4 separate regions of the Mus musculus genome follow, and all the other regions are reported to be linked to region 1. Evidence: microRNA targets listed by miRTarBase, many of them from high-throughput screens and not tested one by one. Region 1 holds a microRNA gene; each other region holds the end of a gene's coding sequence.
Evidence for each region. The annotated mature microRNA mmu-miR-669p-5p reads AGUUGUGUGUGCAUGUUCAUGUCU and lies in region 1 at 1,542-1,565, shown strand. An mRNA with a match to its seed (bases 2 to 7 or 8) in the 3' UTR can be bound and repressed. Matches are read on the target gene's strand: a 7mer-m8 pairs with bases 2 to 8, a 7mer-A1 pairs with bases 2 to 7 and ends in A, and an 8mer does both.

Region 1 (3,152 bases):
CACACACATTCATAGGAATGGCCAGAGCTATGTCTCAGTTAGGAGGTGAGCACTCTTGCCAGTGTCAGGAGGATGAGGAGTTCAAATTCATGTTTAACTTCATGATGAGTTAGAGTTCAGCATGCGATTCATGTGATGCCCACCAAGAATGTGCAGGTGTGTATAGTTGTGTACATATTCACTTCTGTATATGAATATGCATATACTCACATGCAAACATACTCCCACGAATGGCCCGTGCTATGACTCAGTTAGGAGGTGAATACTCTTGCCAGCATCATGAGGATGAGCAGTTCAAATTCATGTTTAACTTTATGATGAGTTAGAGATCAGCCCGGAATTCATGTGATTTTCCCTGTGTTTGTGTTTATGTGTATAGGGAAGTATGCCTGTACATGCGCGTATATGAACATGCATATATATATATATATATATATATATATATATATATATATATATATATATATACACCCACACAACTAGGGACACATTCATGTGCACACAAACACACATGGCAGTCATCCATTTGATTTATACGTGCTTAGAGTTTCATTGAGTGTATATTCATGGTATAGGGAATAATGTCACTTATCAGATGAAAACCACTTGCCAGAGTTAAAAGTCTCAGGAGTTCAAATTCATGCTTAACTTCATAATGAGTTAGAGATCACCCTGTATTTGTGTGATGGATCCTAGGTATGCACAAGTGCATATAATTGTGTGTGCACGTACATGTGTGTATATGATCATACATATAAATACACACACATACAAATGTATTCACACACACAGGCATGCACACTCACACACATAAGAATGACACTCATTGATCCATTTGAATGATTTATGTCTTAGAATTTTGCTGATTATAAAGTAGAGGGACAGTGAATATTCTCACTCACCAGGTGTAAACAATTGTCAGTGTCAGGAGGATCAGGAGTTCAATTTCATGCTTAACTTCATGAGCAGTTAGAGATCATCCTGGAATAATGTGATGGCCCCTATGTATGTGCCTGTGTGCGTAAGTGCCTGCATGTATATGCGTGTATATTTTATGCATATACATACACACACCTACACACACATGCACACAGACATGCGGGAATGGCCCTCACGGATCCATTTGAATGAAATGTGACCTACTGCTTTGGAGGTTATGTATGACTGGGCCAGGGTGAGGTCTCACAAACCACAGGAAAACCCTTGGTAGATTCGAGAAGATCAGGAGTGCAAGTTCATGGTAAAGGCATGATGAGTTAGAGGTCATCCTGGCATTCATGTGATTGCCCCTATGTATGTGTGTATGTGTTGATGTGTGTGTACATGTACATGTGTGAATATGATATACATATACATACACGCACACATAAGACACATATGAGCACACAGACACATGGGAATGGCACTCATCAATCCATTTGAGTGATAAGTGACTTAGAGTGAAAATGCTTGCTAGAGTTAAGAGTATCAGGAGTTCAAATTCATACTTATCCTCATGAGAGATCAGCCTGTGATTCCTCCATGTATGTGCATGTGTGTATAGTTGTGTGTGCATGTTCATGTCTATATTTGAATATACATAACATACACACACACGTATAAACGCAAGCACACATACACAGACACAGGAATGGCATTCGCCAATCCCTTTGAATGATAAGTGATGTAGAGTTTTAGAGATTATGCAATAGGGGGCATTGAATGTCCTCACTCACCAGGTGTAAACGATTGACAAAGTCAGGAGGATAAGGATTGCAAATTCATGCTTAACTTCATTTGGAGACATCTTGGTATTAATGTCATGCAACCCATGTATGTGCATGTGTGCTTACTTGTATGTGCATTGTATGTGTTGACATGATATACATAACATAAACACACGTGTATATGCAAGCACACACACACAGGAAAAAATTGCATTCATTTATACGTTTGAATGATACGTGACTTAAAGTTTTCAAGATTATGCAGTAGTGGGACAGTGAATGGTTTTACTCACCAGGTGTGAAAGATTGTGGATCAGGAGTTCTAATTCATGCTTTACTTCATGATGACTTAGAGATATGCCTGGGATTCATGTGATGCCCCCTATGTATCCCTATCTGTATCTGTTTCTATTGTGTGTGGATTTGAGTATATGGATGTACCTATCTACACAAATATATACATGTACACAGACACAAACAGTAACACACACACAAACATGAATGCAACTCATCGATCCATTTGAATGATATGTGACTTAGAGTTTTAAGATTCCTCATTACTGAATGGGGAGAGGTCTCACTCAGCAGGAGAAATCCCTTGACAGAGTCAGGTGGATCAGGAGTTCAAATTCGTGCTGAATTTTGTGATGAGTTCATGATCAGCATGGGATTCATCTTATGCCCACCAAAAATGTGCATGTGTGTATAGTTGTGTGCATATTCACTTCTCTATATGAATATGCATATACACACATGCACACACATTCATAGGAATGGCCAGAGCTATGTCTCAGTTAGGAGGTGAGCACTCTTGTCAGTGTCAGGATGAGGAATTCAAATTTATGTTTAACTTCATGATGAGTTAGAGTTCAGCATGCGATTCATGTGATGCCCACCAAGAATGTGCATGTGTGTATAGTTGAGTACATATTCACTTCTGTACATGAATATGCATATACTCACATGCAAACATACTCCCACGAATGGCCCGAGCTATGACTTAGTTAGGAGGTGAATACTCTTGCCAGCATCATGAGGATGAGCAATTCAAATTCATGTTTAACTTTATGATGAGTTAGAGATCAGCCCGGAATTCATGTGATTTTCCCTGTGTTTGTGTTTATGTGTATAGGTGAAGTGTGCGTGTACATGCGCGTATATGAACATGCATATATATATATATATATATGTATATATATATATATATATATATATATATATATACACACACACACACACACACACAACTAGGGAAACATACATGTGCACACAAACACACATGGCAGTCATCCTTTTGATTTATACGTGCTTAGAGTTTCATTGAGTGTATATTCATGGTATAGGGAAAAATCTCTCTTATCAGATGAAAACCACTTGCCAGAGTTAGGAGTCTCAGGAGTTCAAATTCATGCTTAACTTCATAATGAGTGAGAGATCACCCTGTTT
Region 2 (3,000 bases), not on the chromosome of region 1:
ATGGAGCCCATCTTAAAAACAGAATAATTTAAACAAAAATGATTTTGCATGATTTTAAATGTTTGTAAGACTGTATCCTGAATTCCGTCTGCATCTGGCCATTACCCTGGCAGGCTTTGTGCCTGTCCTACATTTGGGCCTAGGACGCATTGAGAAAGACTGAATTATTGGTTAAACAAGTTACGTTGACCACTAAGCCTAAGTTTTCTCCTCTATAAAATGTGGATAACAGTGTCTTCTGCACTGGTGGCAGTGACACAGTCTGTATACACTACCAGTCACTGCAGAAGACGCTGTTATCCCCATTTTTTAAAAGATTACTTTTTACTTGATATGTATGTGTGTTTGGCCTGCATGTGTGTCTATGTGTATGCAGAGGCCAGAAGAAGGCAGCAGAGCCTCTGGAACTGGGTGCTACAGTTATGAGCTACTATGGGTGCTGAGAACCAAACCCAGGTCCTCTAAAAGGGCAACAGATGCTGTTAACCGTTGGTCATGCTCTGTTATCCCAATTTTACAGAGGAGAAAGTGGGCTTAGAGGAGCAGAGTAACCTGCCCACAGTTACATAGCTAGCAAGCAGGACAAGAATTCTGATCCTGCCCAGCTGATCAAGAGCTGAGCTCTTGTCCTCCGTCCTTGCCAATCTTGCTTGTTGGGAATACTGGTCCAGGACTGTGTATCTCAGTGGTAGAACACTTGCCCAGCATGCACATGCCCTAGATTTGGCTCTAGCCCTAAAGAAAAAAAAAAAATTCAGGCACCTGGCCCTACCTCCCAACCGGAGAGAATTTCCAGCCATTGTGGAAACAAAGAACAATCACCACCTGCAGTCTGAGCCCACGTGCGTATACCACAGGCGCTGAGCCACCTCTGACCCTCATCAGAGTCTGAGGAAACACTGAGTGCCACGCAGCTGCTCATCCTCAGGTGACTGTCTCGTGCTCAGCTTCCTCATCTCTGGGATGAAGGCAGAGTTCCTGTGTGGTAGTGAGGATGGAATGAGGCAATAATTGCATCAAGTGCGACTCTGTCCAACTAGTCAGCACCTATAAAGACCCCTACTCCACTAAAGTCTCAAATACCGTGACTGTAATAAAACAGTATTGAGAAACCTGACAATCACTCATGGAATTGTCCATCCCAGCAGTGCCCCCAGAGCAGATGCTGGCCAGCACAGGCGGTCACAACTCCACTAGAGTGGGCAGCAAGCAACCCCACAGGTGCCCTCTTCCACACCTGTGACACTTGCTTCTTACTGCAAATAAAAAGATGACCAGGGTTTTGCTTCTGCCCCCCAGGATGGGAAGGTGCTGACTCTCAGGCCAACATGACAGTTACTCTCCCTACAGCAGGCACTTGTTCCAAGCAGTAACTTGCTAATGAACCTATCATGACTAATCTACCCACAGGCACATTTCCGGCCTCAGTTTCCCTGCACATAGAGGTGTCTTTATCACAGGCAGCCTTAGTCCTTGGTCTTACAGAGTGTCCCCCAGTGCCTGCATTGGTAATGTGTACTGTTGGAAAGAGAAGAAACGGACCAACAAACACAGACTGTTCAAAAATAGAAATTTATTAAAGTGTATTTGTTTTTAATTCCCAAAACTTCTTAAAACCATCTTTTCATTGGGCCCATGAGGTACTTGAACACAGACATTATAAAGTATGTAGCAGTGATTGTTGTGTGTGTGTGTGTGTGTGTGTGTGTGTGTGTGTTTTACTGTGTATCTCAGGCTGGCCTGCAACTCTCTATGTAGCTCAAGCTGGCCTCAAAGTCGCAATCTCCTGCCTCAGCCTCCCACATCCTGAAGATTACAGGTATATGTCCCCATTCCTGTCTTAACTTTTCTGTGTAAAGTGAAAAGGCTCAAATATCTGGAGTCCACCAAACTCTTAAAATGACCTAGCTTTGGTTTGATTGCTATTGCACCCTCAGTCAGTACCCAGCCCCAGCACACCCCTGCTGAGTCAGTACTAAAGTGACTGACTCACATTTCCTACCAGATCATTAGGAGTTAGCAGTAAGGAAATATAAGGGGCAGTCAGCTCTGTTATCAGATGCTGTCCTCTCTGGTGCACACAAGAGGCTCGGGCAAGGCTCTGACCACTAACCTGCTGCAGGCAGTGCTGTCAGACAGGAAGAGCTCATCTGTACACAGGACAAGCCCACAGCCTCAGTAACAGTCCTGGGTCTCTGCCTTTAATCAGCATCAGTCTTCCCTCGAGAAGGGGAGACAAGTCTCAACAGACACTGCCATCCATCCTGAATACAATGAGTTCATTAGAAATTTTGTTTTGTATGAATGTGCAAAACTGCCAACCAGGAGTTGAAAATGAAAAGCTTGTTTTGTCAATGACAATCCTCATGTGTTCCAAGGCAAAAAGGTGAGAACAAGGAGCTGGCGTGGTCTGTCCCCTAAAGGCTGGAGATGACCCTGACATTAAGGCACAAAGCAGAAGAGAGTATCCAGGTTCCATGGCCTTGACCACTGAAGCTCTTTGGAAAACTTTAATTTGCAGTCAGAGATCTGTGTCACAGGCTGGCCACCCTACCTCCAGCTTCTGGTCTCTCCATGTTCCCTTTGGTCACAGCTACTTGCTTAAGGCACCACAGGAGCCTGGGCCCTAGAGAGGCTGGGGAGGGAGGTAGCTTCAATGGCTTCTAAGCTCCAGGGACCATTTGCTGGTTTCATCTCAAAGTCTCCAGGAACTGGGAAAGAGGTGAGCAATGGCCACCATAAGGAAAAGCAGCTGAAGTACAATGTCTGGAACAGAGGCCCCAGCTCTCTCCAGCCCTCCGCACTGCACATCTCTGGCCCACTAAGTCATGTTGAGAAGTGGGTAGGCTAGGTAGTAGCCCACAGCCGAGCCCAGGACCACACCGAGGAAAATCCAGGTGTTGTAGGACATGACAGCCAGCATCACAAAGTAGCCAATTACCACCTGAATGACATGGACTAGGGACTGGCCAAAGTAACACAAAAACCACCTAGACATAA
Region 3 (3,000 bases), not on the chromosome of region 1:
TTTATGAGGTAAGTTGGAATACTATATCGTATCATGTTAATTTGGTAAGTTAGGAAATGGATGCATAGAATAATTAAGTAAGCTTGTGGGACTGCACAAGGAAAAAGCCTACTTATCAAGAGACTGAAATAATATCTAATTAGCTAAAAATACAAAATAAAAAAACACCTGTCTTTATAAAGCGGGACCTGGGCGGGCCTTTGTTGTGTGATAGTTTATCACTGCTAGTTAGTTTGGTTTGAGGTCATTCAAGATGCTTACCAACTGACTAAGGTAAAAGGGCTTACAATATATTTGAAAATTAAGAGTTTAAAAGTATTTCTGGGTCATGCTTCTAAACCAAGGCTGGAAAAATACAAGTATCCTTACCCTTGTCTAATTCCGAACCTGCCTAGGAAGTGTCAGAGTGGCGCTAATCTCACTCTCAAGGCATGACCTGAAATTGGAAATGGGTACCATCTCTCCCCTCAGTCACTGGAAAGCTTCAAGGAAAGGATTTTCTTCACATTAAAGACTGAAAACACCTGGTGCCTGTAAACATAAGGAAATGATTTGACAGAGAAGAGCATTTTGGGTTGACCTAGGGATGTTCTTCCTACCCTTTCAATCATTTTGGATTTCTTAATAACCCAAACAGGAGTGCTTTAGCATTTTAAGCTTGTTTTCCCTGTACTTTCCCTGTACTTGCTATGTATGTTCAACAGTTTTGTACCTCTGAGCAAGAAAAGTACAAAGATTTATCTGTCATATAAAGTATCACTTTGATGATGTACACTAACTAGATCTAGATGTATTACAAACAGGAAAAGTGGTACAGGGGTCAACAGCAAACAGACAAACATCAATTTGACTTTTATATGTTAAAAGTGATCAAAAATGATGGGCTGCCTATGCATTCTCATACAGGTAAACCACAAATCCTGGTAAAACAGAAGAAGTACAAATGAGGAAAAATATTTCAGGAAAGAAAACGGACGCTCTGTGGTTCAGAACCTTACTGAAATGTGTGCATACAAAATGGTACAAAGATTAACAGCGTGAATGACACATCAAAGAATACTTACTATTTTACGAAGCCTCTAGTATAGTAAAATACTTACCAAACTGAATGTTCATTTGTTTATGAAATTTCTCATCAATTTGATACCAAAAGAGTTTTTAAAAAGCAATTATGAGGAGTATGATGGCCAGATAAATGTGTTTTATGTATTTAGGTGATCAGAAAATTGAATATCTATTCTATCCCATAGAATCACAAATAGGGGTGCCTTTGGAAATGCATTACATTTTGTTACAATTTTCAAGTTAAGTTGGTGTGAATTTCATGGTCACTTGTTTGTAGACATTTCATCATCCACATTTAGTGGTAGAGATCATAGCATTGCTTGCTGGCACCTTTGTCAGAGTACTGACAATATTCTATCCAACCCTTTTAAATTAAAATAAATACTTCCAGATGAGAGAGAAATTATCCATTAGATGAAATGGTGTGGAGGACAAAACTGAGTATCTCATGAAAATGAACTGCTATTAAGTCAAAATGGATTTCATGAGGAACAAAAACTTGATCATTTCATTACTTTCTATAACTTAAAAAGTTTCTAAGATCAACATTTCTAACTAAGGATGGTAGTGAGGAAAACACTTCTTTTTCTTAAGATTGTGAAAAATAAAATGTCCTGTATACTTGCATCAGGAAACAGATTTCTACAGAGCTTTCTAGAAACAACAGCAAATGAACTGAGGTTAAAAGGCTTGTTTAAAACTTGCCTGGCACGCAAGGAAGGGAAAGATAGAGGTGGAGACTATTAGTTTTATTTTCTTCCTTCTTAAAATATTAATCTTAGAAAATTCTACTAGAAATTTCTCAGAATTATAGGACAAGCCTGAATTATGAGGAGAATGAAGCCTACCTTCTGAGCAATTCATATTTTAAACATTTAGATATTTGTATGAGCTTCCATCGTTTTTGATGTTTTAACAGTTGTCTCAATCGATCCTGATCCCTACTTTCTTCAACATGTGGAATGAAACACGGCTTTCCTAAGTAACTGTACCAATGGATCCTAAAGTCCCAAATGTAGGCCCTTGAAACAAAATGCACATTGCATGCCAGAGTGGCTACAGTTGGTTATGTACAAAAAGTCTTAGTGAGGTGAAAATGGAACATACCAATAAAACAAACTTAAATAGCTCTCCTATAAGCTATAATTGGAACAAAGTTGTAAAATCCCTAGGAACCTATCCCAGCTATCATGGTGACTCTTGTATAAAGCTATATTCAGTAGTAGTAAAGCATTAGGCTACTGAGACAACAGGCTAGGAACTAGAAAACGAGCATTTCTCTTCATTCTAATGATGAGTATGACCAGCTCAACTGAAACTTCAGGGATACTGTGTCAATCAATGAAATGGCCAGTGAGGATGCAAGAACAGAACAGAGTCAAATGCGAAACAAACTGTGGGGTAGTAGGCTTCTTTAATGCACTCAAAGCTGCCTCAAAGCCAAGGGGTTTATAAAAGGTAGCAGCTCACAGGGAACTGACAGCTAACTTCGTGCCTTAGTCCCTGCGCAGGGCTCATGATGTGTGTGAAGGCTCATTACTTGTCAGAAGCCTCGGGTCTCATTAAGCAGAGCACAGATCAACAGCAGTCCAGATGTCAGTGGCCTCGGGGATCACTTTACTGGTAGTAGGCATTACATCTTGCTCTGTGCACGCCTTTAAGTCTGTGTCTATCCTTCCTACTGGCTCGCTGGATTTTCTCCTCAGGGAGGACCAACAGGCACACCTGAGAAGTGCCCTAAAGCTTTCCGAAACACTGGAGGAGAAGAGCTTTTTGCAAGGGTGGAAAAACTGATAGAACACAAGCATGAAGAGAATGCCAGTGCAGTACCCAATAAGCAGCTGCAAGATCAACAGAGGCGCACACACATACATGTATATGTCAGTTTTAAAAAAATACCACAGGAGCAGGAGGACGGAGTTCTCGATGAATCTC
Region 4 (3,000 bases), not on the chromosome of region 1:
ATAGGATCAGGGTGTTGACAGGCGAGGGTTTGCGCCACGTTCATGGTTTGCGCAGTGTACTAGAAACTCTTTTATGTAATCTCTGAGAGGAGAGGGCAAGGCTGATCTGCAGCATCGCCAAACCACTGACAGGGCAGAGTACACTTGCAGTCCTAAATCACTTGTTAGAGGAGGTATGTACTGCTGGCCTTGGGAGTTCTTAGGGCATGTGCTAGCTGCCCAAGACTCCACGGGGCGAGTGTCAGAATTCTATGAGGAATGCTCATGAGAACAGTGAGCCATGCCTGCTAACAGCGTGAGCTTGAAGAACATTTGGCCAAATCAAGAGGAAGAGTAAAGGAACTTTCTCAATTTCCTCTCGCATTATGTTTTTGGCCAAAAGGAAAAAAAAAAAGGTGCAGTTAGGACAATGGAAAGAAATGCTTTTTTTTTTTTTAGTTTGAAAGTAGTTGCTACATCCTTAGAATAGAAACTCAGTCACACAGTTGAATTGAGCTACCTTGGCACAAAAGAGAGATGTCAGGGCAAATGACAGCCCATGCAGCTGTGGGCCTTTGCTGGGAAATCTTGGTGTGCTGTTCCCTTACACGTTATAATTTTTAATGCATATTAATTACATGCACTAATGGGGTTCATTGTGACCATTCACATTTAAACTTCTTCTGCTATTAAAAAAAATTATGTAGCTGAATTGATACTCCAAAATGACAGTCTGCCCTTAGCCCACTGGTATATACAAGGTTTCCATTGCTTATAGCACACTCAACAGCTGTCCATCCCAACATGTGCACATCCCATTTATATTCCGGTTGAGGAGTAGACAACTGACTGGGGATCCAAACCAATTTTTACATGGCCTTGAGGGGTGAAGTCGAGCCAGTACCCTGAATGGCAAATGTGCTTTATCCTTTGAACCAACTCCAATTGATTAGTTCTGGTTGCCTATAGTGCTGTCTTAAGAAACCATCTGTGGTATATTTGAGGCTCAGCTGGGAAAAGAGCTGGGATTGATTAGCAATGTCTGTCATGGGCTCTAGAGGAACAGCTTGCCCCATATTTGTCATTTTCTGCCTTTAACATGTCTTTAACTCCTCTGTGCTCTCTTCCTGTGCAAAAGAGTTATAATCCTAAAATGTGCCTGTAGTGTAAACAGAAAGAGTAGGTATAGGTATATTCCACTTTAAGAAACCCTAGCATAGAAATGCAAATTTGGAAAAAAAATGCATCAATCTGGAGCCAATTATTTCCATTACAGAAAAGATTCCATGAAAGGTTCCTTTAAATAGCGAGCTCCCCTGCTGCATTCAAATGATGATTCAATTTATAAAAATTCACTTTGCATGCAACTCTCTCAGACTAAGTCTGTGGACTCTGCAAGCCATACCTGAACTTTTTAAAGCCATGCTGAAGCACTAGCCAGGATGTCTGCCCTCCAGTGCCTCGAGTCCCGCGCCCACCCCCCAGTAACTCCCACTCCCCCTCAAACTTCCTTCTTATTTCCTATCCCAGAGTGTTGAGCATACAATCTGGGTGGTGATCAACAGCTACTGGCTCCCACCCGACACGGCTGCATTTCATTAGTGGGTAAGCTGATTGCTCCAAGGGTGTTTATGTGTGGGTGTAGCTGTACAAATCCATGCCCTCTGTGCACTGCAGATGTAGATGTGGATGCAGAGACACAGCCACCATTCAGCCTAAGCAAAAGCCATCCCTGCTGGGAGAGTTCTAGGATAAGGTTCCCATTGCTTGGTGGATATGGTCTCTTGATGATATCTGCCCTGTATTCTAGTTTACTATTCTCTCTGTGTTCCTTCACATCAAAACCTTGCCCAGGCTCCGGGCCTGAGTCCCATTATCCAGACATGGAACCTTCATCTTCCCCTGCAGCTTAGAGAGCCCCAAATGGTTTTCTGATTTAGAAAATTAAATATAATCTGAGTCTTGTGGCCAGCTATGAAATTCCCAACCAACAGACATTTCCACTAAATGTGTAACATACGCAACATCTCAACATCCTACCAATCTAGCATGAACTGGAATTAAGAGGCAGCCAGTACGGGTCGGGTAAGAGCACTAGCCAATTCCCAGGCACTCCAACTGGTGGCCCCAGAGCTCTTAAAAATGCCTATTGGCACACATGTCCGAATTCTTATTGCTCTGCAGAATCCAGCTTAATCCAGAAACAGGTACCTAAAAGAGATGGCGTCGCTCTTCTTTTTGTTCCTACACATAGACTTCTTGTCATATCTTCTCAGTTGCAAGATATGAGTGTGTCTATTATATCTATGGTATTTAAACTTCTTCCTACTGAGTACTTTGTTTTATTTTTTGGATACATTTTTTCCTTAGTTGTTTTGGAAGATAAAACATGGGACAGGAGCATCGAACACATCAAGCTCACTCAGATATTTCTTCCGGGCCCTCAGTGATCGAGGGGACCTTGGAAATGAAGGCTCTCAGGCTGATGAACTGTCCATAAGTTCCTTACTTCCCATCTTCTCAGACTTCCTGGCTGATGCCAAGGGTCTCCCTTGGTACTGGGCTGTGATGGCTGCATAGGTACATCCATAGATAGCAGCCGCCAACATCATGAGACATACGATCCCACATACTACCCCAGTGATGACCACAGTAGCCACAGCATGGCGCAGGTTGGTTGGCTTTGGTTTGGGTTTGGCCTCACACTCCAAGGGATCTTGCTGTCCTGAGCTATTCTCATGAGACTTCTGGGCATCTTGCGGGGCAGAACCAGGCTGCTGGACTAGTGAGGGTGCCAAATCCTGAGAAGGTAGAGAACAGGGTTGGTACAGTTCGTGAGGAATGGAGAGGAGAGCCTTTCCCTGCCAGGGTTCAGGCAGCCTGCAGATGGCACCATCTGTTTCTCCCCCTTCAAGAAACAAAGCAAAGAATGATGATGGAGCTTTGATACAGCAGTATTCCAAAGTCCTCAGCCTGCCACAGAGTAAATAGACAATTATTTATGGCTAGGAATTTGTTAGG

Region 2: miRTarBase lists Slc31a2 as a target of mmu-miR-669p-5p. Seed matches in the 3' UTR shown: 8mer at 1,680-1,687.
Region 3: the mRNA of Xk is a reported target of mmu-miR-669p-5p. Seed matches in the 3' UTR shown: 8mer at 202-209.
Region 4: the mRNA of Lrtm1 is a reported target of mmu-miR-669p-5p. The part of its 3' UTR that is shown has no 7-base or 8-base seed match.

The regions. Positions count from the first base shown.
Region 1 is chr2:10,492,502-10,495,653 of GRCm38, forward strand. Mir669a-9 (microRNA 4669a-9) reads left to right here and starts at 1,527; the gene lies at 1,527-1,613. All of the region lies in intron 10 of Sfmbt2 (Scm-like with four mbt domains 2), which reads left to right. Mir467a-7 (microRNA 467a-7) reads left to right here and starts at 1,009; the gene lies at 1,009-1,091. Mir466b-6 (microRNA 466b-6) reads left to right here and starts at 1,297; the gene lies at 1,297-1,386.
Region 2 is chr4:62,296,965-62,299,964 of GRCm38, reverse strand. Slc31a2 (solute carrier family 31, member 2) reads right to left here. Exons shown (of 4, transcript NM_025286.3): 4 at 1,553-2,990. The coding sequence ends at 2,822. Among named protein-coding and RNA genes, the nearest start is that of Slc31a2, 12 kb to the right of the region's middle.
Region 3 is chrX:9,309,377-9,312,376 of GRCm38, reverse strand. It overlaps Xk (X-linked Kx blood group), which reads right to left. Exons shown (of 3, transcript NM_023500.2): 3 at 1-3,000. The coding sequence ends at 2,628. Among named protein-coding and RNA genes, the nearest start is that of Gm25481, 6.9 kb to the left of the region's middle.
Region 4 is chr14:29,027,211-29,030,210 of GRCm38, reverse strand. It overlaps Lrtm1 (leucine-rich repeats and transmembrane domains 1), which reads right to left. Exons shown (of 3, transcript NM_176920.4): 3 at 1-2,887. The coding sequence ends at 2,457. All of the region lies in intron 27 of Cacna2d3 (calcium channel, voltage-dependent, alpha2/delta subunit 3), which reads left to right. Among named protein-coding and RNA genes, the nearest start is that of Lrtm1, 11 kb to the right of the region's middle.